4 linked regions of the Diceros bicornis minor genome follow. The protein of the gene in region 2 binds, or shares a complex with, the protein of the main gene of each other region. Links are inferred from orthologs where the notes say so. Each region holds a gene or a part of one and is shown on either strand. Other genes may lie near its edges. The genes, in order: KAT14, DR1, MBIP and TADA2A.

Region 1 (7,859 bases), on a different chromosome or scaffold from region 2:
ATGTGCTATCGCCACTCACAAAAATTAACTCAAAATGGATCAAAGACCTGAAGGTGAGACCTGAAACTATAAAACTCATAGAAGAAAATATAGGCAACACACTATTTGACATTGGGTTTAAAGGAATCTTTTCGGATGACATGCCTACCCAGACTAGGGAAACTAAAGAAAAAATAAACAAGTGGGACTTTATCAGACTAAAGAGCTTTTATAAGACAAATGAAACCAGAATCAAGATGAACAAACAACCAACCAGCTGGGAGAGAATATTTGCAAAACATACATCTGACAAGGGGTTGATCTCCATAATATATAAAGAACTCACACAACTGAACAACAAAATAACAAACAACCCGATCAAAAAATGGGCAGAGGAAATGAACAGACACTTCTCCAAGGAAGATATACAGATGGCCAATAGGCACATGAAAAGATGCTCAACATCACTAATCATCAGGGAAATGCAAATCAAAACAACACTAAGATACCACCTCACACCCGTTAGAATGGCTATAATCACCAAGACAAAAAACAACAAATGTTGGAGAGGATGTGGAGAAACAGGAACCCTCATACACAGCTGGTGGGAATGCAAATTGGTGCAGCCTCTATGGAAAACGGTATGGAGATTCCTCAAAGAATTAAAAATAGAGATGCCCTATGATCCAGCCATCCCACTACTGGGAATCTATCCAACGCACCTGAAATCAACAATCCAAAGAGGCTTATGCACCCCTATGTTCATTGCAGCATTATTCACCATAGCCAAGAAGTGGAAGCAACCTAAGTGTCCCTCGACTGACGATTGGATTAAGAAAATGTGGTATATATATACAATGGAATACTACTCGGCCATAAAAAAAGACAAAATCGTCCCATTTGCAACAACATGGATGGGCCTGGAGCGTATTATGTTAAGTGAACTAAGCCAGAAAGAGAAAGACAAACACTGTATGATCTCACTCATATGTGGAATATAAACCAACACATGGACAGAGAAAACTGGACTGTGGTTACCCGGGAAGTGGGGGTGGGGGGTGGGCACAAGGGGTGAAGGGAGTCATATATGGGGTGATGGACAAACAAAAATGTACAACCCAAAATTTCACAATGTTAGAAACCATTAAAATATCAAAAAAAAAAAAAAAAAAAAAATAGCTGAGCTCCCACTGTGCTAGGCAGTGGGCTAGGAACCAGGAATACTACACCCAAGACAGACATAGTACCTGCAAATTCTGTGAGGGCTACATACAGGGAAACAGGTAATCACAAGAGCACAGTGATTCTCCCTCCTCACTGTGCATCAGCATCACGCACAGTTTTTGTTTTAAACATGCCTGGACCTACCCCACACAAAATGAATCAATCTCTGAAAGTGAGGCCTGAGTCTCTGCTTTTTTTTTAAAGTTCCCAGGTGATGCTGACACTCTGGGAGACATGAAAACCACTGGAGTGGAATGTGATGTGTGCCATAGGGCAACGTGTGGGCACATAAAAGAGGTACCCAACACATATTAGGAAGAGAGCTAGAAAAAGTAGGGTCTACAGGGGACCCAAAGGATGACTAGAATTGGCCGGGTGAAGAGAGGCAATTGTGTGTATGGGGGGAGGGATGGAGGCTATAGAGATGCATAGCCCAGAGAGGAAATTAAAATGTGCAAAGTCCTCGGGATAAGAAATAATTGTTTGTGGTGAGAAAAAGCTCATCCTAACTGCAAAGTTCTGTTTATATGTGGGGATAGGAGGCTACTAAGGAGAGGCTGAAGAAGTTAGCAGGGGCCGATCATGAAGGACAGTTTAAAACGTACCCTGCGAGGACAAGGGGAAAGCCACTGAGATTTTCAGGCAGAACCCTGAATTAATAAGCAGAGACAGCTCGGAAGCAACAACTAGCTAATATGTAATAAAATCTAGGTTTGTTTTCTGTGAAAATGTTATCTATTAATAGTAACTATTAATCTGAATAGATGAATCCATCTTGAAAACATTTCCACGTAACAGAAAAGGACCCACTTCACAATTATATATAAAAATTTCTCTGATCTAGTTACCAATTCTATTACACAAAGTATTCCTCCAGTACATATGTCTTTATTAGTCTCTGCCTAATGGAAAAATCCTGTTTGGTAAGTCTCATGATGGCTGGCAAAGCATACTCCCTGAGAGCTAAGAAGCTGGCAGCTAAAAGATGGAGCTGAAACACTGAGGTGTCAAGGGGGTACGTAACTATGTGCCTCTCGAAGTAGACAAGGAGGCCAACAAGTAGGAAACAAGAACGGTCCTAGAAAAAGGGCACAAAACACTTTTAATCTGCTAATTCTGACCTCACTTCAGCATACAACAGCAGGAGTTTTCCACCTAAGTTAAATATTAACAGAGTAATTTTTGTGAACTTGACCTTTAATTCTACACTCGGCCTAGAATTTGGCCCCAAATCCATAACAACGTGATCTTGGAAGAAAAATGTGACTAAGTCTTTAAGTAACAGAGGATTTCCAACTTTCTAATTTTTATTGGATTACCATCAAGAATGTTAATTTAACAACATGATAGAGGTTGACAGTAATTTTTATTAGTACAAATGTGTCTATGTTTTATATAAATTTGTAATTATTCAACTAAACTAATAATAAATATAATAATTATCTTTTTACTTAGGTCTGTTTTACATTCACGTTTCTTTCACAGGTTAGAAAAACAAACCTGCACATAGGAACTGACAAATCAAAGGAAATGAGAAGCTCCTTACTGGCTGGTATCCATCTCTGGCACTTGTCACAGAAGTAGGCCAGCCGTTCCTCCATCCACGACACGTCTCCTTCGTCACTGTTGAGGGAGTCCCCACTCTGATCATGAGACAAGTCCACTGATGCCTGGTCCTCTGACTCAACAATCAGCAGAGTCTCCCCCTCCACCTCACCCTCCTCAAGTCCTTCTGAGGTAGATGTTCTAGTGGCTTCATCATCGTGCCGACTTATCAAACCACTCAGGTGGACGTTACTATCCATCCCTTCCTTCTCACAGGTGCAGAAGCGCTTCTCAGGAACAATCCTAAGCTCTGGACACCAAGCTTAAAGCGGCTTCTATCAGGATCACACAAACAGAAACTCTTCAGAAGAGTGTCTGCCCACTTCTTTACTCAGATATAGGAGACTTTTAAAGCAATCATTTAAAATATATGACCCATTGTCCTTTTTTTGATCAAGTTTAAAAAGACAGTGACAAAAACAAGGTTGAAATTTCTCTAAGCTGTTCTCCATCAACACACTCACACACACATTTAACGCTGTCTGTCCCATCGATTTTTCCCATTCATTTCAAGTCATGTTTTTTGAGATCCTTTTGCCAATACCATCTTCTCTCTTTCTGCTTCAAGTTGCTCAGTTAAAATAATCTGTTCTCCCAAAAGGCGAATGTTTTCTTTTTTCCGATTTTGTCTCTCAATGTCTCTGATCACTCCGTCACGAAGCCTCTAAAAACGTAAGCAACAGATTTCAGTAACACCCTGACCAGGTGGTTCCCATCCTTGTGCCATCCAAATCCAAACAACAGTGTTACCAAAATACACCTAAAACCTTCAGATTCCAAATACCCAGTTACTACTGTAACTTTCTGTATAAATGTAAAATGTAATAAAGAAACCATCAACTTAACTGGGTACTGTGCTATAGCGTTATTACTGAAATGACTTATCATATTTTAAGAAATTCCTGAACATTCAGTATAGAAAACTTAATGGGAAATAACAATTAAAAGAGAAAAAACTGCCACTATACTGAATTTTAAAAGTTTGATAGAGGATGCTTTAAAAACTTGATGAGATACTACATCAACTCTGAACTACTTTCCTGTTAGCAATTACCCTAGTTGAATAATAAACATCAAAGAAAAAAAACGATTACTAAAACTTGAACAAACTGTAAGGAAGCAAGAAAGTAAAAAAACTGGCGCCCCCCCAGAATGTAAAGAGAAAAAGTAAAAATTATTCAGAATTACTAATCAATTACATAAGAAGGAGAGAAGGGGAAAAAATAATGCTACTATCAGAGGAAAAAATAAAGGCCCGTCAATGGTAGTTACTTTGATAAGCACTAAAGACAGGCAGAAAATTCCAGAACGTGGACCTGGCACCTAAGATGAGACTTATTAAAGCATCAATCCAGTCATTACTAGTAATTAACACTTTATAGATTATAGGTCACAAAACACTCTATTAAGTTTTTAACAGTGGCCCTGTGAGGTAGAATTAATGGGAGTGGGGCTGGGGCATTTTTTTTAAATTATTATGTCTATTTAAAAACTCACCAAGTACCTACTTGCTGGACCTCCTCCAGGCCTAGAGCTTCATTTGCTATCATGGGGGAGTTGGGAAATTTAAGAGTCCGGGGACTGATAACACAGCTGAAAACCAACTTTCTTGAACCCTGTACCCTTTGCAAGATCTCCAGAGACAGAAATGGAGACACTCATTCCACTCCTCCCTCCCCATTTCTTCCTGTCCTGGGCTCCTTACACCATGACACACCTACAACACCCCAACGCACCCCCCCGCACAAAGTCCACACCCACTGTAATCACTGTTTCCACACCTGCCTCTGAGATCCTACCCTTCCTTTCTCAGACACTTTAGCACATGGCTTAGGATCTTGCTCTCCATCCATCATCTGCTATCTTCCTCCAAGTTTCAATGTCTTTGTGATTGCCTCGCACATCCCTCCTGGGACTTCCACTTAACTACCTTACTAACCGCCTCGCTTACAAACCACCAAGACCTCTTCACTATTACAACTCTAACACCTAGAACTCTGGCTCCTCCCGCAGTACCACTTGTTTTGCTGGGTTCCTGTGAGGATTAAAGATGATGTACATAGAGTACAGTACCTGGCATGTCGTAGACAGTCAAGAACAACAGGAAACAACAATCATTCTTTTATTTCTTGCTTCCTTGAAACTTCCAATATGTCAATGTTTTTTTGTGGTGAGGAAGATGGCCTTGAACTAACATCTGTGCCAATCTTCCTCTATTTTGTACGTGGAATGCCGCCACAGAATGGCTTGATGAGTGCTGTAGGTGCGCGCCTGGGATCTGAAGCCACAAACCCCGGGCCGCTGAAGCGGAGTGCCCCAAACCGAACCACTACGCCACTGGGCCAGCCCCTCAATCTTTTGTCCTACTCTTTCCCATTGCTGGGAAGTAAGCCCACCCACATGAACAACTGGATGTAAAGTAAACACACTATTCTGGTCAATCTTTTCTTCATCTCTAACTTCCAAATACCTAAATCCTCCTGTTGTTCCACTCTCTAACACAGTGGTTCTCAACCTGGGCTACATGTTAGAATCCCGTGAGTCAATTTTAAAACAAAGCTAAGCTGGATCCCCATGCCCTAGAGATGTTGTTTAATAGGTCTGGAGTAGGGCCCAGCCTCAGCTGCACTGTAAAAACTACCCAGGAATTGGGATGTGTAGCTAGGGTTCAGAACCAAGCTCTAACTCATCCCTAGCCCGTACCCTTTAAAAGTCCCTGCATTGGCTGACCTCAGAGCTATATCTGACATACTATCCTCCACTCCATCTCAAATTTTCTCAAGATCACAGTCTTTTCTTTCCTAGAGGAAGAAGTCTCCTGCCTCTATTCCAAATGCTACCCCCTTAGAACCTGTACTTTAATCCCAAATCTCTAATCTCTTCCATGCCCTTTCATCATTAGTCTCCCATTACGCCCTCCTCAAAATTTTTGTATCATTACAGGCTTCCTCTTTGATTTCCAAAGTCTGAACAGCGAGGACTAGACCTCATGTGCTTCACCTCTGTATACCAAGCACAGAAGACCGTCCAGTGCAAAAAAAACTGTTCACTATTGATTCATCCAGTCCATTACTTCCACCATTGGCAAACTAGGCTAAACCCCAATCCCTCACCAAGATGTTGAGACTTCACCCACGACCTAGTTGCTCCTTCTCACACTCAACACCCAGCACTGTTTTGAATCATTTAGTCTCAGGAGCAGCTGTGCTTCCTCATCTTTGTTTCCCAAAGTGCCTAGTGTGGTGCCTGACACACAGTGACCAGTCCTTAAATGTTTGCCAATTGAATAAGAAAGAAAATGTGAACTGAGAAATACAGAACGGACGGTCAGTCCACTGATCGGTAAGTCTCGGATATTTCCAGAAATAAAAGTACTGAAAAGAGAAAATTGGGAGGCTGGTCTCTCTAGTGTTCCCTGAATCTAGTTTCCATAGCAAAGTGTTCCTTAAAAAAAGAAAAGAAAAACCAAGTATCTCACCAAATTACCTTGGCCAAAAAAGCACGACGGCGAGAGCGGGGACGCCTTCTTTTTCATGGGATAAAACCTTTTTAACTTTTAAAGATATCAAAACCTAATCTTGGGCCTGGGGGTAGAGAGAGGCCGGTAACTCGCTGGGTGCACCCCAAAGAAACCCTTCCCCGCCTCTACTTTCCAGCGGCCCAAATGAGGTGCTGGAAGGTCTCTATCCCCGCAAGCTGCCTGCGACCTGAAAGCAGGGCCGCCGAGCACCCGCGGGCGTGCGTTGGCGGAGCCAGGTGACTTCGGCGCGGAGGGCCGGGCCCCCCGGGCCCCGAAGACGCACGCGGCCGCGGGCTGCAGCGCCCAGGGCTGAGCGGGCGGCGGCCGGGCCGCAGCGGGAAGGCGTGGAGAAGCCGAGCCGCGCCGCGAGGACCCGACAGGAGGAGAGGCCCGGGGCACCGCGCGGAGGGCCCGCGGAGAGACGGTCACGTGACACCGACCTGCTGGTCCTGCCGCTGCTTCAGATGCACGCCGGCCACGGTGGCCGCCGTCAGCACCACCGAGAGGCCCAGCACCGCCTTCGAGCTCCTCGACATCCCCCCGCCGGCGCCGCGACCTCCTCCCCCGCCCGAGGCGTAGGACCGCCGCCCTGCGCGCCGCCGCCGGTGCGGCAGCCTCGACTCCTCGAGCGCAGAGCCCCCGCCGCCGCGAGCGCCGCCCGCCGCCGCCAGACGCGAGCAATCGAGAGCCGAGCGGTGCCCCGGCTTCGCGGAAAGCGAGGCTTTGGTTGCGGCCCCCAGACAGGAGGGATCCCCTCCCCACCCTGCAGGCGGCCGGGTTAGAACTCCCAATTCAAATTCTAAAGAGCCCCGACCCAAAGCTGGCCCCAGCACCTTGCCGGGGTAGGGGGTTCCCTGCCTGAGCCACCTCATCTCCTCCCCGCCCCCCGCCCCCCGTCCCCAGCGGCGGGAGGCGTCCTGGGGGCCGGATTCCCGATGCGGTACCTTGCTGACCCCTCTCCCACGCGCGTCCCTTCTGAGCGCAGGGCTGACCCAGCTGCTCTGCTCAATACCAGCTGCACCAACGCAGCCCCCGTTGCCCCTGTGGCGGGGTAAGTGCCACCAGGAGATGGAGTTTTTGCTTCTTAAACGTGTAGACACGGTCACCTGCTTTCACCTTGGCGATCTGGGGTGGCTGGTCAGGGTCTGATTTTTCTTAAAATCGAAAACCCTTCTGGCTAAAGAGCATGCTAACGGGGCAGCAACACCTCCTTGCCTCCTGATAGGAAAAGCGCTGGTCACCGAGTTGCCCATGTAAATCCTTAAGAGATCACTTTTACTCCCTGGGAGCCTCAGGTCCCGCCGCGGTAGGAGAGGATTCCTGATAGCGCCGTTACTGGGAATGTGCGTGAGGGCATGAAGTAGTGCGTTGACAGTAGCGCAAAGTGCTGTGCAAGGCACGGAAAGACTTTGGCTTTCCAGTGAAGAGATATTTTCATTGTCATTCTTTCACACTAGAATTCACAGGGAACAGGGAGGTGACGTCAGCATCATGGCGGAGTGAGCTTTCCGTGAACTCTACCCCGACAAGA
Region 2 (7,466 bases):
AATATGAAAACTTCTAGTACAGCGTGTAATTCATAACAGGCACAGATTTGTTATCCTTTGGGCCTAACTTACTTTTCCTGCAGCACATCTTTCTACACCTCTTTATATACCCTATGATGAACAGAGCCACTCTAGGCTACTTAATTTCCCAATTCACGATATACTTTTGTGTTTCTTCTTCAGCTGCATACTCTTTCCTTCTTTATCAAATTTCTGCTCCATCTTCAAGCCTCAGTTAAAATGCTGAGTCCTCCCTAAAGCCCTCTGTACCTCACAATTGGTGTGTTAATCACTCCTTCCTCTGCACACTCTTCCTCCCTAAAGCCCTCTGTACCTCACAATTGGTGTGTTAATCACTCCTTCCTCTGCACACTCTTAGTTCCTATGTTATCCTGTATTTCATTTCAATCTGGTTTATATCCTGATTCTTCCAACAGATTGTAGGGTCCTTGAAAACAAGAAAGGTGTTGTATTCATCTTTATTTCTTCCGCATCATACTTAGGACAGCAGACACTCAGTTGCTGAATGAATGTGGGAATCAGATGCTGTCTGTCTTCTCTTTCTACTGCGTATAGGACATCACTTCCTTAAATGCCTACTGGGGCCTCAAACACAAACAGGTGCAAAAGGAAGCACATCTTCTCCTCTAAATAGCTCCCTTTCAATTTTGCTGTTTTGGACACTACCCTAATCCCTAATCCCAGTTTCTGAGGCTAAAAATCTTCTAACTGTATTTGACTAATCTGTTTCCTTGACTATCTAGGAGCCACACTATCATTTTTTTCCCCAACACTGTGTAATAGTTCTTGGAATCACCTTTCTTTTCACTTCCATTATTCCATTCCCAGGAGTAATAACCATCAGTGTAATGATTATTTTTTTTAACAGTGACCACCATTTATTTAGCATTTAAGTTCTGGGCTTTTTTTGTATACACTTTGTCATTTGATCTTTAAAACACCCCTATGAAGCAGGTATTTTTATCCTTATTCTATAGATGAGAAAAATCAAGACACAGCTTAAATACCCTGGTCGTTACAATTAGTTAAGCAGCAGAATGGGGATCAAACCCAGATCTGAAGCCAAAGCCCTTGAATTAACTGGGCTCTTTCAAGTTGAGAAGAACAAAACCAGGATTTTTGAAAAGTATTATGAAGATACACAGGAAGCAAAGCAGCACAGGAAACTGCTTCATGGAGGCCTACTGTCTCTTTCAAAAGCAGAATACACCAACACTCTAGCGATCCAGTTATTTTGTTGGGCTCTCTGACACCAGTACCTGAGGCCCTGAAGCTTCTCTCCTTGTTTCTGTTGCTCTTGTTATAACTAACTGACTGACTGACTTCTCTCTCCTCTCCCTCGCTCTGTCTTTTGGCTTCTATTACTTCATGACTTCTGCTGCCTCAAGTGTTTGGCTCTGTCACTTCTCTCTCACTACTGTACAACACAAATGCTTTACTTCAATTAAGGTGATCTCCTCACTGTTTACAGAACAATTTCTGTTTCCACAACCTTATGTTGTTACTTTGAACACAAATACTTTCTTCTCTTCTCTCCACCTATCAAAAGCCTATATTTCAAGGTTCCTTCATTACCTCTTCTCAATAGCTTCAAAGGATTCTTGAGTGATTACTGTGTGTTATGTCTTCCTGCTGACCCATGATGAACCCATAACATGAGCAAGAAATAAACCTTTTGAGATTTGGGGGTTATTTGTTCTTGCAACATAATCTAGCCTATCCTGACTGCTATACTAACTTCCAGGGGATTATTTAGCTTCTCCAAGCTTCAATTCCTTATCTGTAAAATGGAGATTAAAATAGAATCTATCAAATAAAGTTGCTCTGAGGATTAAATGAGATAATACAGGTAAAAGTACTTAGCATAGTGCTAATCACAAAAGAAGTATATAATAGATGCTAGTTTTTTTAAATTTGTATTATCACCAACTAGCAATTGGTGTGTTAGCAATGACAAATTAGCATAATGGAGAGTAGTATTTGCTTTTGTTAACTGTTAAGCTTCAAATTACAAATATTATAGATCAGTAATTTTAGCTGAAAACCTGGGCATCTTTGAATTAACACATTTTAAGATAATTACTGTAGAGTTAGCCTAACTCATAAGAAACAGCCCTATTACGTGTCTTTTCATATCATGAATTTTAGGATACCATGAAAAAAATGTTTCGCATATATGCACTCTCTCTAAAACGCTTAAAGCTTATTAAGGAGATGTTATCCTTGTTTTTAAAAGCCTATTTATAACAAGGATATATTGTACTATAAACAACTATTTAAATATGGGATCCAGGGGCCGGCCTGGTAGCACAGCCATTAGGTGCACACTCTGCTGCGGTGGCCCAGGGTTCGAGGGTTCAGATCCCGGGCACGCGCCAACATACCGCTTATAGAGCCATGCCGTGGCAGCATCCCATATAAAGTAGAGGAAGATGGGCATGGATGTTGGCCCAGGGCCAATCTTCCTCAGCAAAAAAAGAGGATTCGCATCAGCCATTAGCTCAGGGCTTCCTCACAAAAATAAATAAATAAAGGGATCCAGATTAGCATATTTCCTGATATATCACACTACTATTTATATTTCATTACATTTTCTCTCAGCCGTATTATGCATGGTTTATTATTGTTTGAAGACTGCCCAGACCTGATAAAGATGATAATAAATAAACACTAACACCTATATAATACTTCATAATGTTAAACGTACTTTTATATAGTCTCATTAGACTTTGAATCCTGTGAGTTATATAATACTTCCATTTCTAGTTGAAGAAAATGAGGCTCAGAGAGTGACCTGTCTAAAGTAACAAGAAACTGGGACTGAAACCTAGGTCTCCTGACCACACATTCCATGCTTACGCTACCAGAGAACCCTGTAGTGATAAACTATCACTGGAATAACAACTTAACACGTGTGGTCTACAGAACCACATATCATAAACCTATAAGTCTATATAGCACAAATGTCAGATAAAAAAGCAAAATTATCATTATAACACTTTTTCAGGAACGACAAGATTTGGGTCAGTGACAATGTGATAACTGGAGACATTTTTTGCTAGCTTTTTCAGACTGATAAACTTGGTAAGGCCAAGATAAATTTAGACAAATTTAAACCAACAGTAAACTGACTTACAAAAACATTTCATAAAAAGCCAACAACTGAGCCAACAGTTTCACATTCCTGTTTTGAAGAAAATTTTAAAAAACTGTTTCATCAAAGAAGTTTTGTTTTGATTAAACTTAGTAGCACTGAAATACAAGCGTCTACACTTCAGAAATTAAAGAACCCATCACTGTACTGGAGAAAATGCAAAATGGAAAAAAACGGTGTAATTAACTGAGGTCTCCTCGAGGTGCCACATCTAGGTTCTCAGACTGAAACAAAACGTTTTAAGAAAACATTTCAACAAGCCAGTTGCTGTTCCATGTATCAAGAACAATGTATCTGATTAACTAAAAAGTGCAAAAACGGACTTAAAGTGTATCTCGTTTACTTTTTAGTAACTGCAACACCCCACTATTTATAACACGACCCCTTCTTCCAAATGACACTTAGTTTTCAAAAATAATGCAATTTTTGTGAAGAACTTGACACGTTGATATTATTAGTCACCCTGGAGAGAAGCAAAAATCAGAGTTGCTTAAGACACAAACGTATTATTTTTCCCCCTCTCCAGAAGCCAACGTGCAATACAACATGAAAAATGACTAAGTCGCAACCTCATAACGTGGTTCATCGGACGCTACGTTATTTCCACTAAGTTGGATCTTATTTCTGGTTTCCGGTTTAGCCATTAGTAGTGACTGGAAGGGCAAGTCACTTCTCTGAATGTTTTTTTTCCCCATAAAACCAAAAAATAGGGGGAGGACCATAGAGAGCTTTGATCCCAATAACGCCTATTAGATACCCTCAAAAGCTTTTCCTCCAAATGATGCAGACACAAGCACAAGGGGTTCTGCTTTCCCCCGTCCCATTCCCGAGCCCAGGCCTCCTTCCTCTTCCTTCCAAGCCCAATTCGGGCTCCTTAAGAAACAGGAAAGAGTTCTTTTAACGAAATCCTGCGCTCTTTTGTCCTCAAACGTGGATGGGAGAAAGTTTCGAGGCCTCAGCCGGTTGAGACTCTACAGGCGATCTACCCTCGCCCGTCCACCCACCCACCGCACCCCGAGTCCGGCGCCGCAGCCCCAGAGCAAGCGCGTGCTCGGGGTTCTCCGGTACCGCGAGGCGCGCGCTCGCCCGGCTACGGTCCCTGTGAAGGGGTGGGATCCCGGGGCGCGTGCCGGGACGGCCGCAGGCGGAAGCTGCTGGCGGCGAAGACGGGCGGTTCCCGCCGGCGCGGGTGGGGGAAGGGCGGCAGTCAGACCCGGAAGTCGGTCTGGAACGGAGCGGGGGGAACACGGGGGGGGGGTGAGGCTTCCGGTAGCGCAAAGGGTGTCGGGAGGGGCTTCCAGCAAACCTTCTTCCCTGGCCTCTGGAGGGACCACCGTTGCCGCGGCCTCGGCTTCCACGATCTGCGTTCGGGCTAAACGGCCACAGCGGCCGCCGCTGCCGGGCGTCTTGTGCCTGGCTCTGTCCGTATTCGTTCCCGGGCGGCCGCCCCTGTTCCAGCAGCGGCCGCGGCCGACATGTTGTGAGGCGGCGGCGCTGGTGTCTGAAGGATGGTTTGGCCGAGGCGGCGGCAACGGCTGCTGGCGGCGGCGGCAGCGGGGGCTCCGGCTCTGTAGAGCCAGCCCGCTGGGTGTCCGCCTGGTACCGCGGCGAGGCCAGTGCCCCGGGACCGTGCCTGTGCTCGGGCGCCGTTGGGGACCGGTTAGGCGACAGCGCCCGCCCGTCTGAGGAGACACGAAGGTGGTTCCCCAGTGTTCAAATTTCCGGACCACCTTGCTTCCCCTCCCCGACCTGAGCAGTGCTGTCCCCGGAGTCCTCAGCCCCCGACTTTCCTCCCAGCCTCGCCCTAAATCTCTCACACACACGGGTGTTCCCCGCCCTCTCGAGCTCCTCCCCCGACCCCTTCATTTTCTGCACCCTCTTCTCGGCGCCCCCGGATCTCTCTCCAAGGGCGGCCTTTTGAAACATCTTCGTGGAGTAGTGGACCAGAGCTGGGGAGTTTTTAAAAGTCAGGGCGCGAGAGAGAAGATACGATGGCTTCCTCATCTGGCAACGATGATGACCTCACTATACCCAGAGCTGCTATCAATAAGATGATCAAAGAGACTCTCCCCAATGTCCGGGTGGCCAACGATGCCCGGGAGCTGGTGGTGAACTGCTGCACTGAATTCATTCACCTTATATCTTCTGAAGCCAATGAGATTTGCAACAAGTCGGAAAAGAAGACCATCTCCCCAGAGCATGTCATACAAGGTAAGTGGCGTAGTATGTGTGGGATTTTGTTTAAATGGGAGTCCGGGGACAGCCTGCTAGTCGCGTGACCCGTTCATGTCAAAGCCTTCATTCCTGTCCCCTGAGAAGTACTGGTAAATAGACAAGCCACGCGGGCGTGGAGGCAGCCGGTGCCTTAAGAAGATCCCTATGTAGTATTCTCGTGGTACTTTTCATCCAGCGAGGACAAGTAAGGATTGCAAGCATTTAGCAATCAGCTAACATCCCCCAAAGGTCAAGTATTAGTAGTGATCTCAATTTACAGGCAGGTAAGCCGAAGCAAGAAGAGTTTTGCCTGCTTGAAGGTGAACCTAGACATGACAACTGAGAAATTGCCTGCCTAAAGTGGAACCTAGATCATGACAACTGAGAAATGAACCCAGAAGTCTCCCTTGGAAAATTGAAATTCAGACAGGAACTTCAAGCACGAGTGGAGACAGCACCTCTTCCTCACCCGACCTTTTCGCCGATGTAGAGGAAATGAATTTTCTGAACACATGAGTAAAAAAATTCTTAATATGAATGTGTTCAACGTTGTAAAGTTTATTGATGTTGAATAAAGAGAGTATATTTTCTGTTTTAAAAATGGTTTAATAGTCCTACCGTTCATCAACAAGTTACCAAAGCACTCCAGTTCTGTTCTGTAGGAAAAGGGTAGAATGTTCTTTAATCTTTCTTTTTCTTTTATATAGCTTGCTTTGTTCTATGGAGATAAGTTTTTAAAGCTTGGATTGAAAGATTGTAAGAGATTTTTTTCATGGAACATTTTCCTGTCCCTTCCTGCTGCCATTCCCATTTAGATGTATCTGCTTAAGCTTTTATTGATGCTTTTATTGAACAGCACTTCTGAAAGTTTTAACAGTGCCCTCTGTCTTATCTTGGAAAGAATTTAGTCCAGTAATAGTCATTGGGGGGACTGTATTCTGATGGTTTGTTTCTGAGGTGGGGAGACATGTTTACTTGTCATAATGTTTTGGGAAGCGCTTAAATATACTCTTATGAAAAAGTTGCATTCAATTTGAGGTGATAAATTGCCTTTTATGATAATCCAATTAAAATTCTAACAATTTCTTGATTGCTTTTGAAGTCAGAAAAAAATCATGGTTAATTTTAATCATTTTGGTAAGCAGATGGTTGTCTACCATTTTATTTTTATAATTTAACTTTTTAAAAGGTGGCTTTGTGTTATTCTGAAATAGAGAACACATCTGTTCATGTTCACCGCATCCAATATTTTACTGTCAATATTGACAAAAGGATTAAATGATTCATTTTTGATCCTTGATGATGTGTGGAAGGTAGATTTAAAATATACTCTGCCATTTCCATTTCAGTACAGAGGGAGAAAAAAAATCCCTAGGAAAAAGCATATTTGATTTTAAAGTTAGTATTTTTTTCCTACTTGTTTGGTGTGCTGAATCTTGGTAAGTAAAATGAAAGCCAAGTTGTCTCTTTTTCTTCTTGTGTTTTTATTTTTACATTGCATGTGTGATTGTTGTCATGTCTTTCGCAAGATTATCCAACACGGATAGCTATAATTTTCTTTTACAGCTCATAAAAAAGAAAAAAGGTCTTTTATCAACATTGCCTTTCTAATGAAAATTGCAAAAGATTTCTAAAGGATCTGCTTGAACATTTGTTTATACCACAGAAGTGGGGATCGTTCCAAAAATCGAATAACATATTACAATCTGTCTTCTTGGGTAGAGTTTATTCTTTTCTAGGATATATTTAGATTTCTGATTGACATGATGGAATAAAAGTGCAGCTGTAGCAAGCAGTATGCTAAATAGCTCAACTTTGGAATATGCTAAATTCAGTTTAATGTATGAGTCAGAAAGTTACAGTGAAAGCATTTTCCTTTGTGTCCTGAAGATCATTTACATATTAATTTTAAAAAATCATGTATTGACCTGTTATAGTCTTATAAATTTACCTTTTTTTCTTGTAACATTGCTATTGTTAAGTGGATAAGGACAATTTTGTCCAAAATTCTCTCCAGTTAGGGGAATAGATTTTATATATTGAAAATCTCATTTGCTTAATCATTTTAAAGAATTTT
Region 3 (7,166 bases), on a different chromosome or scaffold from region 2:
AGTTGTGTCCTCAGAACTTGATTGTAGTGCTGAGCTCCTTGATAACAGAAAGTGGAACTCTGTGATCCATTGCATGACAACACAATTAGTCAATATTACTCCAACTTATTTGATCATGGAAACTTCTGTTGAAAGAAGCATCTTATAGGACTAGAATTCAGCAGAACAAACTTTGGGAAATGCTGGCTTAGCCATACTTCTCTATTCAGTCTATCCTCCTTGCACACATCAAGCACGTTCAAATTGCTGCTCACGTTTTATCTAAATTGAGAATCTGTACTCATCATTTAAGCCTCAATTCATGTTTTATATCAAGTATTTAGAGCTTTTCCTGACACTGAACCCAACACCTTCCCAAAGGAACTGATTGTTTGCTTTATACATACGTCTAATATGATCATTGTCACAATATAATCCTAGTTGTCTGTTTACATATATGCCTAGCCCACTAGAATTGGAGCTCTTTGAGAGAGAGTCCTTGTCTGATTCGTCTTTGTATCTCCAATGCTGATCAGAGTGTCTGGCATGTAGTAAGTACAATTAATTTGTATGGGTGTCATTCATGAGAATGGTCACAGAGGCTAGCTATATTTATTCATTAAGAAAACTTTGAGCATTTTGAATTTGCTATTCCAGAAGAGGATAAACAGACATGCTTCATTATTTGAAATGAACTGTTTATAGCATTCTTACTGTGGGTTACAGTTTCCCCTCAAGAGTAGAAACTTGTTTCTTTTTTTTTCCATTTCACAAATCTGTTCACCTTAGGCAAATAAATTCAGCTCAGCAAGCATGTACCGAGCAATTACTCTGTGCCAGGAACTTTGCTAAGCCTTAAGTACATGAACATGATACACATAAATGCTCATAGTTCAATGGGGAGGCAGATTCATAGTCAAATAAATTTCATTATCAATGTGATAAGTATTACAATGGAAGTATATACAAGTCGTAGGAGTAGTTTACCAGAGAAGATAAGCTCTTTATGAGAAGGACTGTGAGGAGACTTCCCAGGGATTTCTGAGTTGGAGTTGAGGAGGAATAGGAGTTTTCCAAGCAGACAAGAGGCAGGGGTGTAAATAAAAACATGTAGGCAAAAAACAGAAAAGCTTTGAAGAAGTAAAAGAAGTTTCAAGAGCATTAAGCACCAGAAACGAGGCAGAAAACGAGGCTGGAAATGTAGGCAAAGGCCAGATCATGAGAAGAGCCTTAGATGCCATTCTAAGGAACTTGGATTTATCCATCAGGTGATGGGGAGCCAGAGAAGGCAAATAACATTTATTTTTCCTTTTCTGCATTAGGAAAAATTTGTACTACCATACACTGAACAAGCATCTGTTGAGCACATATTATATCTCAGGCATTTTGCTGTGCACTGGATTATTTATAGGGTGTGCCTTTAAAGTTCTTCAAAACGGACATTTTTGTTGATAAGATAGATAGCCTAGATTTCATTTACAGTTTCTATCCTCCCAATTGATTCTTAGCATAAGCTTGCAGGACAGTATTTCTAACTCCGTTGCTAATGCCAAGACCAACACTTTGAATCATTTCTGCCAGGGAGCAGATTTTTCAGCAACCCACTTCATAAACTGTAATTAGTCTTCTATAAATGGCAACTTATTTCCTTTATTCCCTTTCTAAATTTCATAGCTTTCATCATATTTTTGTTATACATTACTATCTATATATTTCTATTTAAAGTTAGCCCAAGGAAATCCACATCTTTTCAGCCTACAAACTCGTCTATTTAAAATAAATAGGAGGGGCCGGCCCCGTGGCTTAGCGGTTGGGTGCGCGCGCTCCACTGCTGGTGGCCAGGGTTAGGATCCCGGGCGCGCACCGACACACCGCTTCTCTGGCCATGCTGGGGCTGCGTCCCACATACAGCAACTAGAAGGCTGTGCAACTGTGACATACAACTGTCTACTGGGGCTTTGGGAGAAATAAAAAAAAATAAAATAAATAGGAGAAAATAAGAAAAATTTCCAAAACGAAGGTAGTAGGTGTCAGAAAGGAGAAAGAAAGGTCCCTGGAAAGAAGAAATAATGCAGAAAGGAGTTAAATTCCAAGAATTATCTAATAACCAATACTAAGATATAAGTACAAGTCTGGATATTTAAACAGAATTACACAATTTATATACAAACCAAATGGCCATCAATTAGTTCTATATTAGGGGTTCAAGTCTATATTACGGGTTCAAGTAAAACTTGAAATTCCAAAATCAGTGATGGCAAAGAAAGGAAGGAGCAGTGCCTTATCAAAGATGGTAATAGACAAAGCATGTTCCCATGTTTCATACCAGAGTCATGAATATTTGAAAAATTCACACCCTAGTGGCCCGCAGATGGTATAGTGGTTACATTCATGCGTTCTGCTTCAGTGGGCTGGGGTTCAACGGTTCAGACCCTGGGCATGGACCTACTCACCACTCATCAAGCCATGCTGAGGTGGCATCCCACATAGATGAACTAGAAGGGCCTACAACTAGGATATACAAGTATGTACTGGGGCTTTGGGGAGAAAAAAGTAAAAGAGGCAGATGGGCAACAGATGTTAGCTCAAGGGCAATTTTCCTCAAAAAAGAAAAAAAAGGTTTTAAAACAAATCTTCACATCTGGGTGAAAATAAATGATCTGAAGCTGGTTGCTAATTTGTTACAAAACAAAAATTTCTAGTTACCCCATTACAATATTCTCCTCTAACAAGAGAACCAAAGGCAAAGAAAATATGCTAACATTGCTAAGAATTATGAATTTAGGTTAGCTATGGGGATGAGTGCGGTGAATAAGAAGGTTGCTCAATTTGGGGTTAGATATTGTGAAACCTTTTTCTGGATGCCTCTAGATGTAGGCTGGGTTATAAACTGTATATCTTGCTGTGGAACATGGGAACAGACAAGATTTCTCAAGATCCTGTCAAGCTTGGAGATCTTTGGAAATGAAAGCCTAATTAAGAGGCTCCCTAGGGACAGGTCAAAGACGTTCTTTTCTCCCTGCAGCCCTTATCCCAGTTCCTTGATGCCTTATTCCTCCCCTTTCACTCCGCCTACTCAAAAACTGGAGAATACCTTATGCAAATTTCCACCTTTGCTTCCTCTACTGCAACTGCATTAGACTATTAGAATTAAGAATTGTAAATCCCTCGTCCCTTATCTTTGAACTGATGATTTTTATTTATAAGTGTTTTTGAATAGAGCTTAACACTAAAAATTCTTCTACAACTTGTTTTTTCAATGGGACAAAATTTTTTTTTAATGTTAAGATTCTACAAGATTACAAAGTCCTTCAAATATCTTTTAATAAGGCTATCTGATAAATAATACTTCGTCAAATTTCAATTTGGATTTGTCTTCCTTACAATTTCAAAGATTGTATTGCATGCAATTACCTACTTGGGTTAAATTCCTGTTGGAATCATATTGACTGTTTCACTCCTTTGAAGCAGTTTTAGGGTGAGCGTCTCTACGCTATCACCCAGAGAATAGCAACTGATGCACGTTTTAAAACTGGACATAATTATTTTGCAGATTTAAAGTAATTAATGTCATTTCCTTGATAGTAAATGTGGCATAACAGAGCACTTGATTGTTCTTTTATATAGCCCCGTCCCTCGCATGAAAAATTAGTGACGTTAATTTGTGTAAGTTTTAAACAACCTTGTAGCAATGAAAACGTCCTATCCAATTATGACAATTCTGTATGAAAGAGTTCTTCAACGTTTAGAAATACGTCTGGGGACCGCCGCATCCCTGACCAGCGATTTTTCTCCATGCCACGCCAGAGCGCCATGTTAAAATTTCAACTTTTAATTTGGGGCTAAAACTGTAACATTTAGCTATAAGTTTCCTCTTACCAACACTTCTGAGCAACATCTAAGAGTCAAGGTAGGCTTCATGAAGCTAAACCTCAGCCGACCACGACTCCAACCACCATCCCAAATACTGCACCCAGCCTTGCACAGGTCCGCAATTCCTGCTCTCAGTCCTCCGCGTAACGCTATCGCTGCATCTGATTGGTGCACGTGCTGTCAATCACATAGAGAGGGTGGGTCCTCAAAGCTCCGCTCTCAGCGAGACGCTGTGTTTTTACGTCATCGCCGAGCGACGACAGCCGGAAAGGGAGGGGTTGGGGCTGTGAGCGCGTCTCTGTGGTGGCGGGGGTGGCCTGCGAAGGTGTCATGGCTGCGGCCACCGAGCTTAGTCGCCCTAGCATCGGTAACAGGAGCCTGGAGCGGAGCTGCAGCCCCAGCCTCTCCCAGGAGGTGCTCTGCGAAATCTTTCGCTCCCTGCATACCCTGGCCGGACAAGTGAGTGGTGGCCTGTGGGAGTAGGGGTATGGGAACCGTGCGGCCCCTCCCCGCTTTTTCCTCTGGCGGAGGACGGGGGCAGCGGAGGCCTGCCGGGTGTGGGACCCGCCGGAGAGGCTGCGGCCGGGGGAGGAAGGAGTCCAGGCCCGGACGCTTGCGGTCGGAGTGAGGAGGGCCGCACCGGCTTAGTTCAGGACCGGGGGCAGACTAGATTTCATTGCAACTCTTCTCCCCCAGAGTGAGTGAGGATAGTATAAGAGCAACCCGGCTCCAAGAGGAACAGGCTTGGAGAGAATCAGTGCGGAAAAGCTTCTCTGAGGGTTTGCGAGGCGTCTGGCGCTCAGGATCCCTTTTCCTCCAGTTCATTCGTTAGAAATGGATACGTTAGTGCCGCCTGAGATTGCTAGAAAAACCCTCTCTCCGCCTTGCTTGGGTGATTTGCTCTTATGAGTCACTTGGTTTATTTCTTTTTTCCTTCTGGCCATTGTGTGCAACTCTTACCCTTTCAAATGGGGAAAAAAATAAAAGGAATGAATCTAAAATACTTATAGCATGAAGTTGGATGAGTTATCCGTGGTTGATACTGTTCGCATCAGAACTGTTGTTTAGCTAGTTGTTTATCTATTAACTAGTTTAACTGGCTGATAAATAGCTTTTGCAGAAGTATCATAATAAAGTTGGGTTTAAATAAAAGTGCTCCTTACACTCTATTACAATCAAGTCACTATATATATATTATATATGTTTCATGATGTAAAATGCAAAACAAATTTTAAATGAGAAACAACCTGAAAATAAGTTTGTCAGCCTTTAAAGGAATTTTTTTCTCTTATATCTTAGACGGAAAATTTTTTAGCTGTAAAAGTTTGTATGGGTCTGGTACTAGTGCATGTAACAGACACAGCAGGCATTTGTGTCGAAGATATGGTAACTTTATGAAAATAGAGCATTTGTCTTATTTGAGAAAATTATTTTTAAAAGCCTTGGGTGGATGGAGAATCGATTTTTTAAAAGATTATTTCAGTAATTTTCAAAATCCTAATATGTTTGTCGTGACTTACAAAGAGCATTACTCTAAGTTAAACATTGGTGTAATGGAACGATTATTCATAGAATCTGATAAAAATTGTAACTTAAACTCAGTTGTTTGCCAAAGACTTACTACAAAAAAATTTTTTAAGGACTTGGGGACATTAATATTTCAGGCTTAAGACCCAAGACCTGTAAATGGTTTAAAAGTTTGAGAACTTTTTATGGCATGAAGATTGGAACTTGAAGGTTTATTTATATTCTAATGTCAGGATAAAAGAATTTCGTGCTCACCTATAATTTACAGAGGTTTTTTTCAGTGATGAGATATTTTTTAAAATAATGTTAAGAAATAATTTAAACATTTTGTTTAAAATATTTTGCATACTTAATTTTTAAAGCTCATTTAAAAATTTTAAACATTCAGATATTCTGTAGGTAGAAGTAGAAATGTGATTAAAGTTTATGTCACCTGCCAAAAATGTTTAGAGTAAATATTTGGCGAGTGTACGTGACATAGTGAACAGACCATCTATACGAGTGTCAAAAAAATAAGATTGTCTCATCGATTAAATGTTAACCATTTTGGTAATATTTTTTATGTATTGAGATTCATTGTTTAAAGATAAGAATGAAAGCCAGAGTACTAATAAAATTTCCTCTGGAGGAGATCCCTATTTCCTTTTGCAATGAGTTTAAAGGATTTTTTTAAAATGTATGTTGTAATATGCCTAAGTTCGTTTTGTATAGTATCATTGTATTATTAGCTCTCCTCAATAGGAAACATAAAGTTGAATGTTAAAAAGTATTTTCTATTCCAGGTTTCAAATTTACTGGTTTTGACCTTATGGCTTGCCTCTGGATGGCCATTTTACCAAGCTGAAGAATTACTTACTGTTAGCTTGGATTTTCGTATTAATTTAATAATGTTTTTACTGAAAATGCATATTTAAATAGTCCATATTGATGGCAGACTAATACATTTTTGAGTGAGTGGTTTACAGTTACAAGTTCTATAGGGTAAAAATGCATAGAATTCATATTACTAATAGAGAATTGTTGAATAAATAGTTGGATGCGTTGGGATTATTTTAATTTGTGACATTATTATGTGGCTTTCTTAAAAGACAAAGGATCTTTAATTGCACTTGAAGGCTTACATAATTCTGCTGAATTGAAATGAGAATATGATCCTAACGTTAAGATTTATTTTCTATGAGTTATTATTTTCTCTAGAAAATTTGATGCTTTGTTTTGGTTGAGGATTTGCCTGCATTATCCCCAAACTGTATTTATAAATTTGTTATAATCGACTATAGATCTCTTTGAAGACTGTAAAAGTATAATAATACTTTGCTTCCACACATAAGTTGTTGTCTAACAAAATCTTTATAGGTGTTAAATAATATAAATTAAGATTAATGTGGTAATCTTCATGTAAAACCTTAGTTAAATTAATATTAACTAATATTTGCCAGTGCAGCCTACACAAAACTTCCTGTTTCTTTATGCTTGTCTAGTATGGACTTCAGATGTTTCTGGTCTCACATTTGAAGGGTAGTAAATTTCTGTCAATTAGTATTCATTCAATATAGTGCATTTTTTTGGTAACTTTGGATCTCTTTTGTTCTTTGTATAGTGATTCATCCTTTTATTATAATCACAACTCACAAGATCTGTATTTGAACTAATGTAACACTTGTCTTTATTTTGTAGAAAACATGACTAATTTTTAATAAATGATTTCTGAAAAAATAACATAGTTGATTGTAATATGCAATATATCCTTATAGTATGCATAAACACATGTCCTAGAAAAGTTTATG
Region 4 (7,563 bases), on a different chromosome or scaffold from region 2:
CACTGTGGTTTACTCTTAGAACCCAAGTTCCATCTAAAAAGGCAGGGTGGCACTTCCTTTATTCTACCACTGACTCTTTCCTATCAAGGCATCTGAAATATGTTATTGGTTCTAATGAGAAATCCAACTGTTTTTTTAAGTCTAACTGCAGGTTAATCATACTATGCCTGGTCCATCTGAGCTTAGTTTTCTTATAAGACCTAGGGTGATATGTTTGTGTCATGTGTTCAGCGGGCAATCAATAAGTATCGGTTGATTTTATTTTGATTTGATACTTTTAATCCTTTAGGATCAGATTCACAGAGCTTGAACTTCAAAGTGCTTATTTTTCTTCTCTGATCAGCTTCCATTTCAGTTTGCTATTAATATTCACCTGGGACTTGTTCCCACAGTACTTACTGCTAAAGGAACCCAAACGGTCCATGCCCTAATTGGCAAAAACTGCTGCTTTGATCTTCCTCAATGCAGCGCTCCTTCAAGGAAATTTCAGAAATGGCCAACACATACACCAAAGCTTGATGACCCCTATGAACAAACAAAAGTGGCACATGGATCAGGAAATAATTCAAAGGGACAAGATAAAGAGAAGATAAGGCAACATACTCAATTCTACCACATCCTAGCTTTATAATGCTAAGCAAATCATTCTATAGATAAAGCCCGTTTCCTCCTCTGTAAAATGGGTATGATATAATAGCATCTACCTCCTGGAGTTGTTGTGACAATTAAATATCAAAATCCACATAAATAATATACCATAGTGCCTGGCCCATAGTAAGCCCTCTATAAAGGCTACGTACCTCCAATAAACAACTATTGGTATTCTCTGCCCAGCATCACTTCTCCGCTTAGCCCTCTTTCCTTTGAGAAACTGACTTTCCCACATTTCATATGGTTCTGGCGGGGTTGCCAATCATAATACTCCATCCCCTGCCCCCAGAGCAGCTAAAGCAACCAGATCTCTTCTTACAGAAATCTGAATCCTGAGTAAGACATATAAGGACAGAAGGCAGTTGAAGCTCAGTCATTCACTAGTCAAAGAATTTGGTCCATGAGTTCTGGCTGTTCAGATCCTCATCTCCAAGGGTGGCTCAACTGTTTAGTTTTTTCCCCTCATTTCTCTTTCCAATAATACTTCAACATGAATGAGTTTCTGTTACTAGAAACCAAGGAATTCTATCTGTTATGACATACACTTGTTCACTAATTTACTCTCTGAACAAAATTTAATAGGTATGTACAATGTACAATGATCTTTTTTTTGTTGTTTTGTGAGGAAGATCAGCCCTGAGCTAACATCTGCCAATCCTCCTCTTTTTTTGCTGAGGAAGACTGGCCCTGGACTAACATTCACGCCCATCTTCCTCTACTTTATATGGGACGCCACCGCAGCATGGCTCAACAAGCGGTGCGTTGGTGCGTGCCCGGGATCCGGCCCGCAAACCCCGGGCCGCTGCAGCAGAGCACGCACACTTAACCGCTTGCGCCACCGGGCCGGCCCCTACAAAGATCTTCTTGAAGGCAGAAATGAAATCATATTTCACACTAAGCCAAGAAAACATCCTTCCTTCTTCTAAACTCCCATAGCTTTTCATCTATCTCTTTTCTGGCATTTTTCACATTCTACTTTCTGAGGATTATTTCTGAATGCTGAAATTCTGAATTTCCCCCATTTTTAGACTAAATGAAAGCAGGGACTACATCCAGTACAAATTTGTATGCCTTAAAGTACCAAGCACAGAGGAAGAACTCAATAAACACAAATGTGATGGGCAAATGTTAGTCCTATAAAAGTTTAATTCATCTTTAGTTCTCCTGGAGTGACTTCTTTCATCTGATATTTTTAGCTTGGGGAATAATTCATCACTAAGCGTACGCAACACTCAAATAACATGGCTGTCAATGAACTGGTCTTTTTTGGGGGTAGGCTGGAGTGGGATGGTTCTCCCTCTGCTCTAGTCCCAGGAAAAGTTAGTCTTTGAAGAAAAATGAGTTTAGCACGGGGTATTATGCGCTCAGTATAATAAAATAATGGCCAACATTTATTGAACTTTTCTCACATGCCACATACTGTGGTACCACTCTATGTGGATTCTCTCTTTGAATCCTCACAACCTTCTGAGGCATGCTGCTTTTTCAAAGAAGGAAAGGATGCTCTGAAAGAATGATACTTGCACAACGTCTTACAGGTAGGGAACAGCAGTGCTGTTTCAACAGGTTAATAGAAATTTCAAGTAAAGGATGTAGACACAGTCTGGTAAACACTCCATGTCATAAGCACAATATTGCAACGAGCAGAACCTTCTGTTTTCCTCTCATTTCTTCTCCTGAGCCATTTCTGACACTAACATCCATGAAAGAACGGGTGCTAGCTCCAAATTAACATTTGCCACATTCAAAGAAGTTAGTGGGAGGAGGAAGGAAGGTACTGTGAAGAACAGCACTCAGTGTGGTGCAAAGGACAGGTGTAGGCTTTGGAGTTTTGCAGACAAGGTTCAAATCCTCACTGCGTTCCTTATTAGCTGTATATTCTCGGCCAAGCCATTTTACCTGAGCCTCAGACAGCCTCAGCTCTGAAACGGAGCTGAAATATTTACTTTGGAAGGCCTACTTGAAAACTCAATGGGAAACATGGGTCAGGGGCAGGACACACCGTGGCAGTTACCAGCGCAGCTACGCGCCCCATTGCACAGACAGGAATACCGAGGCTGGGCTCCTGCGGGGCCGCCCAGAGGGCGGGACGCGACAGGCTCGCCGCGGGGCGGGGCCCAAGAGGTCATGCGGAGTCCCGCACCGCCCTCCCCCACAGCCGGCGTGGCTGGCGCCTGCCGCCTCCACACCCCCCGCGTCTCTCCGGCCACCGGAACCCGCAGCGCCCCTCCCGCGCCGCACCTCGCGGTCCCCGCCTCCCCCTCGTCCCCCTAAAGGGGCTCGCACCCGCCACCGCCCGCCCTACAGTGCCTCGTGCCTCACCTCGCCGCGTCCCCCTCCTCCGCGCCGTGGAGCCGCCAGCCGCGCGCGCCCCTGGGGCTGCGTGCTCGCTCCCGAGCGGCGCAGGCGCGAGCGCGCCGCGTGCCGCGCGCCTGCCGCCGCCCCCTCAGCCCCTGTCCGGGCCCTCGCCGCGTGCCCGTCGCTGTCCTCCCGCAGAGGCCTGGGAGGATGGGGCTGAGCAGCTGGCCTAACCCTTGAGTCCGACCAGTTATCAGTTTTCCCGTGAGGCGCGTTGCCGGTCGCCAGACGTTTGCCGGTGCGTGGTGCCGTTTGATCCCCTCCAGAGGGCGGTGAGGTGGAGCGGGCCGGTACTGTCCTGCTTTTGTGTTTTTAACATTCCCACCCCCCACCCCTGTTGCAGCAAAGGAAATTGAGGCTGAGGGACTGGGCCCAAGGACGGCGAGCAGTGGCCGCCTCTCCAGTCCAGGTCTTGCAGTGCTGCCCATGGATTAACCAGACTGACTGAATGGTTTAAGGGTAAACAGGGTACGTTTTATTCAGATGCTCCTGGAACGTCGCAATTACCTCCTTTGGAAAGAACCATCCCCTCTTTGGGCTTCAGAGGCCCAGATTGAGGCGCAATGATGAGAGGATGTGGTGGGCCACTCTGATGTCAATCTTGAGGGCTAGGTATGTCCCAACATCTCTTATTACTACTACTAATTATTATAATAGCTACCATTTGTCGAGTATTTATTGCATGCCTGGCATTGTTCAAAGGAGGTTGTATACATGGTCTCATTTAATCTTCAAAAACAACCTTATGAGGTAGACACTATTATTATCCCCATTTTCCAAGTGAAGATATTTAGACTCTGGCTTTTAAATAATTTGGGATCATACTGCCAGAAAGTGTTGAGGAAGGTGATTCAAACTGTGGTTTATCTTAACCATTATGCTGTTACATCTGTTTAGAATTCTGTCTTGCATAAATTTGCCCAATGTCTTTTAGAATTCATTTACACATTCTGCCTGTGTGGCCTCTTTATTCATTTTTTAGTATATGAGTAATACAAGTTCATTCTAAAGAAAAAATCAGAAAATTCACATGAGCAAAAATAATGTGAAAACCAGCTCCCACCATGTTAAATAAACAGTTAACATTTTGGTATACACTCTTCCAGAAATTTTCCTATGCATCATGTCAATAAATACGGAGTAGTTTTACATTTGATATATCCTGAAAATCTGTTTATTCATTCATTCAACAAATATTTAATGAGCAGACATTGTTCTAGGTGCTGGGAATTCAGCAGTAAACAAAACAAAGTCTCTGCCTCATATAACAGTGGGGGAGATTGACAATAAAGCAATACACATAATATATTACTAAATAAGAGATAATGCCCAGTAATCTGGCAGGTTTTATGGAAAAAAATAAATCAGGATAAAGGGGTAAGAGTGATGTGGGGTGCTCTTTTAGATGGAGTGGACAAGGAAGGCCCCTTAATGGCACATAAGCAGAAATCTAATCATTAAATGAGAGAGGCAGCTACGTGGATTTCTAGAGGAAAACTATTCTAGAAGAGAAACAGCAATTGCAATGGCCCTGGGATAGAGACTTGCTTGACATGTTGGAGAAGTAGCAAGGAGACCAGTGTGGCTAGAGCACAGCAAATTAGAGAAATAAGTTGGGAAACAGGCAGAAGCCAGATCATGTATCGTCTGGTAAGCCATGGGTGGACTTTGGATTTTATTGGGATGTGATAGACTACCATGGAAGGGTGGAGAGGAAAGGCGTAATCAGATTTGTTTTAAAAGGATCATTCTGGCAGCTGTGTAGAGAATAAATGGTAGAAACATTAAAATTGCCCTTTAAAGCATAAATTGTCCTTTTACACAGCAGTTCAACAGATTGTTTATTAACATTGGTGTTTCACGTACATCTTTACAACCACTCTCACCTCCACAAAGAAGAAATAGGGTCAAACACTTAGGATATCTTCATGTCTTTCTCATCTAAACTGAAAATTTTCAAGCCTGACTAGGGCATATATCCAGATCTGGACGTCACGATTGTCAGCAAACTGAATATGAGTCATCAGTGTTGTACTATTGTGGAAAAAACAACCTCACATAATACTGGAATCTATTCATTAAAAATGTAGCCTTTAAGCACCTGGAAATTACCCTTCCTCTTCAATTGATGTTAGGCCCTCAGAATTCTAGGCCCCAATTTAGTCATTGTGCTTAAGAAAGATGTGGGAAATTAAAATGTGGAGTGAGAAGAAGGATAACCCAGTGCTTTTCTGGGTTTTCACCTTAACAATGTAGTAGATAGTGGCATTAATTATAAGACCAGTTAAAGGGAAAGTGAAGGACCAGCTGAAGGAAGAACAGTTTTGGAGGAGAAATTAAAAGTTCTGTTTTGGATCTGTGTTTTGCAGCCCAAGTGGAAATGGCATATGGGAGTTGAGAGCTCAGAGGAGAGGCCAGGGCTAAAGTTGTATAACTGTATTAGAATTGTTTCTTTGGATGTGTGTCTTCTTTAGACAAAGCTTGAGGACAGACACTGTCTTTTCTTCTTTGTAACCTCAGTGCCCAGAAGTTCATCCTGGACGAATATTTGTGAAACGAACAAGTAAAGGCAAAGGTATGGATGAAGTCACTCAGGCAAAATGTATAAGGTAAAAAGAGAAGATATCCGATCTATGCTTTCACTGGAGGTTTAAGCACCTGAACGTGACTTACAAGTCAGGTGACCATAAGTCCCAGTTTGCTCAGGACAGTTCTGTTTTACTCCTGTTGTCTCCATATAATTAGTAATATTGTCTTATTTCACTCTCAGAAGTGTCTCAGTTTGTACAATAAGTTGCATGGTCGCTCTTTGTAGAAGGCCCTTCAGGGTCTAGCATCTCCCTGTTTCTTCATCATCACTGCCCTGTCTTACACTTCATTCTCCAGCCAGACGGAAGTATCTCTGTTTCCACTTATACACTCTGTTATTTCCAAGCTTCCTTTGCCACTGTACCTCCCCTTCAGCTTAGACATCACTTCCTCGGGAACATTGCTCCTGACCCTCCCAAGTCTGGGTTAAGTAGCCCTATTACATGCTTCCGGTGCACCCTGTGTTTAACCTGTCATAACAGAGATGACTGAGTGCCTTGTTGCTCCCCTCACTAACCATGTCTGTGAAGGAACCTGAAAAAACACCTTTTGTCCTCTTTAAGACAGAAATTTACATTAATAATATCCAAGATCAGTCCAGGTTGGACAAATATTTTTGAAGACTGACTTTCAGGACAGACTAATGGCGCATCCTCCAAGCCCTTCCATTCTTAACTAACTGAGAAGGTTGACTTTTGAACTGAAAACCCAACAAGGAAAACTGTATCCTACTGTCAGGCTCTGTAACGTGGCTGCCGTTGACTGAGTCCAAAATATCCCAACAGTTCCTCTTCAACTACTAAGCTGCTGTGGTTAGAATCAGAAGTGCGGTTTCTGAGCCTCCTCCCTATTGAAATGATTCTCTGCCATTTCTAGTTACTTACCATGTCTTGAATGCTGAAAGACTTTATAAACTTTATCTCATCTAATATTTATTTTTCCTGTTAACTGAGGTGGCACTTTGTAGTTTGGTGTACAAATAGATAAAAACAGAAAGTCTGAAAGTCCAGCTATGCCTTCTAGGTTTCAGCTTCCTTCCCTTTAAATTCTGAGATATACCCAGTCAATGTAAATTAGCCAGAGATTTAGGTCCTGGAGCAGGGCCCTTTGCCATTTACAGGGGCTTTTCAAGGCAAGGAGTTTTCCTGTGACCCACTCAGTAGAGACGGCTTCACTCCCCAAAAGGCCTGAGCCTCAAGGGTTTGAGCTCTTAGCTCTCAGCTCTTTGAGTTCACACACTAAGGCACTTTCACAGAAGCCCTGGCTCCCCCACAGCCAGCTGAGGATTGGTTCGTTTCCTCAGCCTCTGCTAATGCCTCTTGCATTCAGGAGCATTGCCCTCCTCCTTCCTTCCCCGCTTACTGTACCCCACCCCATCTTTCTCCCTTTGTGGCCACCCTAGTCAAAGAAGTTAGAGAATCAATCCTTTTCCTTCCGAATGTTCTTAGACTGCTTATTTAATTTAATCCACCCCACCTATGACCAGTCTGCAGAGGAAGAGTTGAAGCACTTCTGCTAATCTACTTGAAGAAATGTAAGGTCTACATATAGCCATTTCTCCACACGGTGGCCTGTCTAGGGTGCTTCTATGTAAGAAGGCCCTAAAGATCTCAAAGGTGAACAGAAGGGAAAAACAATTTCTGCTAAAGGGCCCTACTGCATCCCACTTTACAGATGAGGAAAAACGAGGCTCAGAGAGGTAAAACCACTTGCCCCAAGTCATTCAGTTACTAAGTAGCACAGCCATAATTAAACCAAGATCTGTCCAAATGTAACTAGTAAACTGCCACTGACTATTTAAAACTGAAGAGTTAGCAGGTGTCAGGATTTTCATAATGCCATGGCCATTAAACAGAGTTTTCATGACTCCAGGCCTCTGCTACCCATCTCTTCTGCCCCTTCCTCACCTCACTGACTTCTTTTTGATCTACACAAAATGCAAGATATCTATCTAATGAGTCACCA

The links.
Region 1: DR1 (region 2) and KAT14 share a complex: the UniProt entries of both Homo sapiens proteins name them as parts of the ADA2A-containing complex. The link is inferred for Diceros bicornis minor from reciprocal best matches to the Homo sapiens genes DR1 and KAT14.
Region 3: DR1 (region 2) and MBIP share a complex: the UniProt entries of both Homo sapiens proteins name them as parts of the ADA2A-containing complex. The link is inferred for Diceros bicornis minor from reciprocal best matches to the Homo sapiens genes DR1 and MBIP.
Region 4: DR1 (region 2) and TADA2A share a complex: the UniProt entries of both Homo sapiens proteins name them as parts of the ADA2A-containing complex. The link is inferred for Diceros bicornis minor from reciprocal best matches to the Homo sapiens genes DR1 and TADA2A.

Annotation. Positions count from the first base shown.
Region 1 is NC_080758.1:44,871,710-44,879,568, reverse strand, and holds the start of KAT14 (cysteine-rich protein 2-binding protein), read right to left. Parts: upstream 3,010-7,859; 5' UTR 3,009-3,009; coding exon 2,750-3,008; intron 1-2,749. Other genes in the region: protein PET117 homolog, mitochondrial, read right to left, coding at 3,323-3,472, 6,769-6,864. UniProt on the Homo sapiens protein: Component of the ATAC complex, a complex with histone acetyltransferase activity on histones H3 and H4. May function as a scaffold for the ATAC complex to promote ATAC complex stability. Has also weak histone acetyltransferase activity toward histone H4.
Region 2 is NC_080743.1:29,476,396-29,483,861, forward strand, and holds the start of DR1 (protein Dr1), read left to right. Parts: upstream 1-4,453; 5' UTR 4,454-5,166; coding exon 5,167-5,386; intron 5,387-7,466. UniProt on the Homo sapiens protein: The association of the DR1/DRAP1 heterodimer with TBP results in a functional repression of both activated and basal transcription of class II genes.
Region 3 is NC_080744.1:13,267,980-13,275,145, forward strand, and holds the start of MBIP (MAP3K12-binding inhibitory protein 1), read left to right. Parts: upstream 1-4,149; 5' UTR 4,150-4,182; coding exon 4,183-4,311; intron 4,312-7,166. UniProt on the Homo sapiens protein: Inhibits the MAP3K12 activity to induce the activation of the JNK/SAPK pathway. Component of the ATAC complex, a complex with histone acetyltransferase activity on histones H3 and H4.
Region 4 is NC_080757.1:25,286,681-25,294,243, forward strand, and holds the start of TADA2A (transcriptional adapter 2-alpha), read right to left. Parts: upstream 3,021-7,563; 5' UTR 2,974-3,020; intron 638-2,973; exon of another isoform or gene 526-637; 5' UTR 425-525; coding exon 400-424; intron 1-399. Other genes in the region: ACACA (acetyl-CoA carboxylase 1), read left to right, coding at 5,587-5,618. UniProt on the Homo sapiens protein: Component of the ATAC complex, a complex with histone acetyltransferase activity on histones H3 and H4. Required for the function of some acidic activation domains, which activate transcription from a distant site. Binds double-stranded DNA.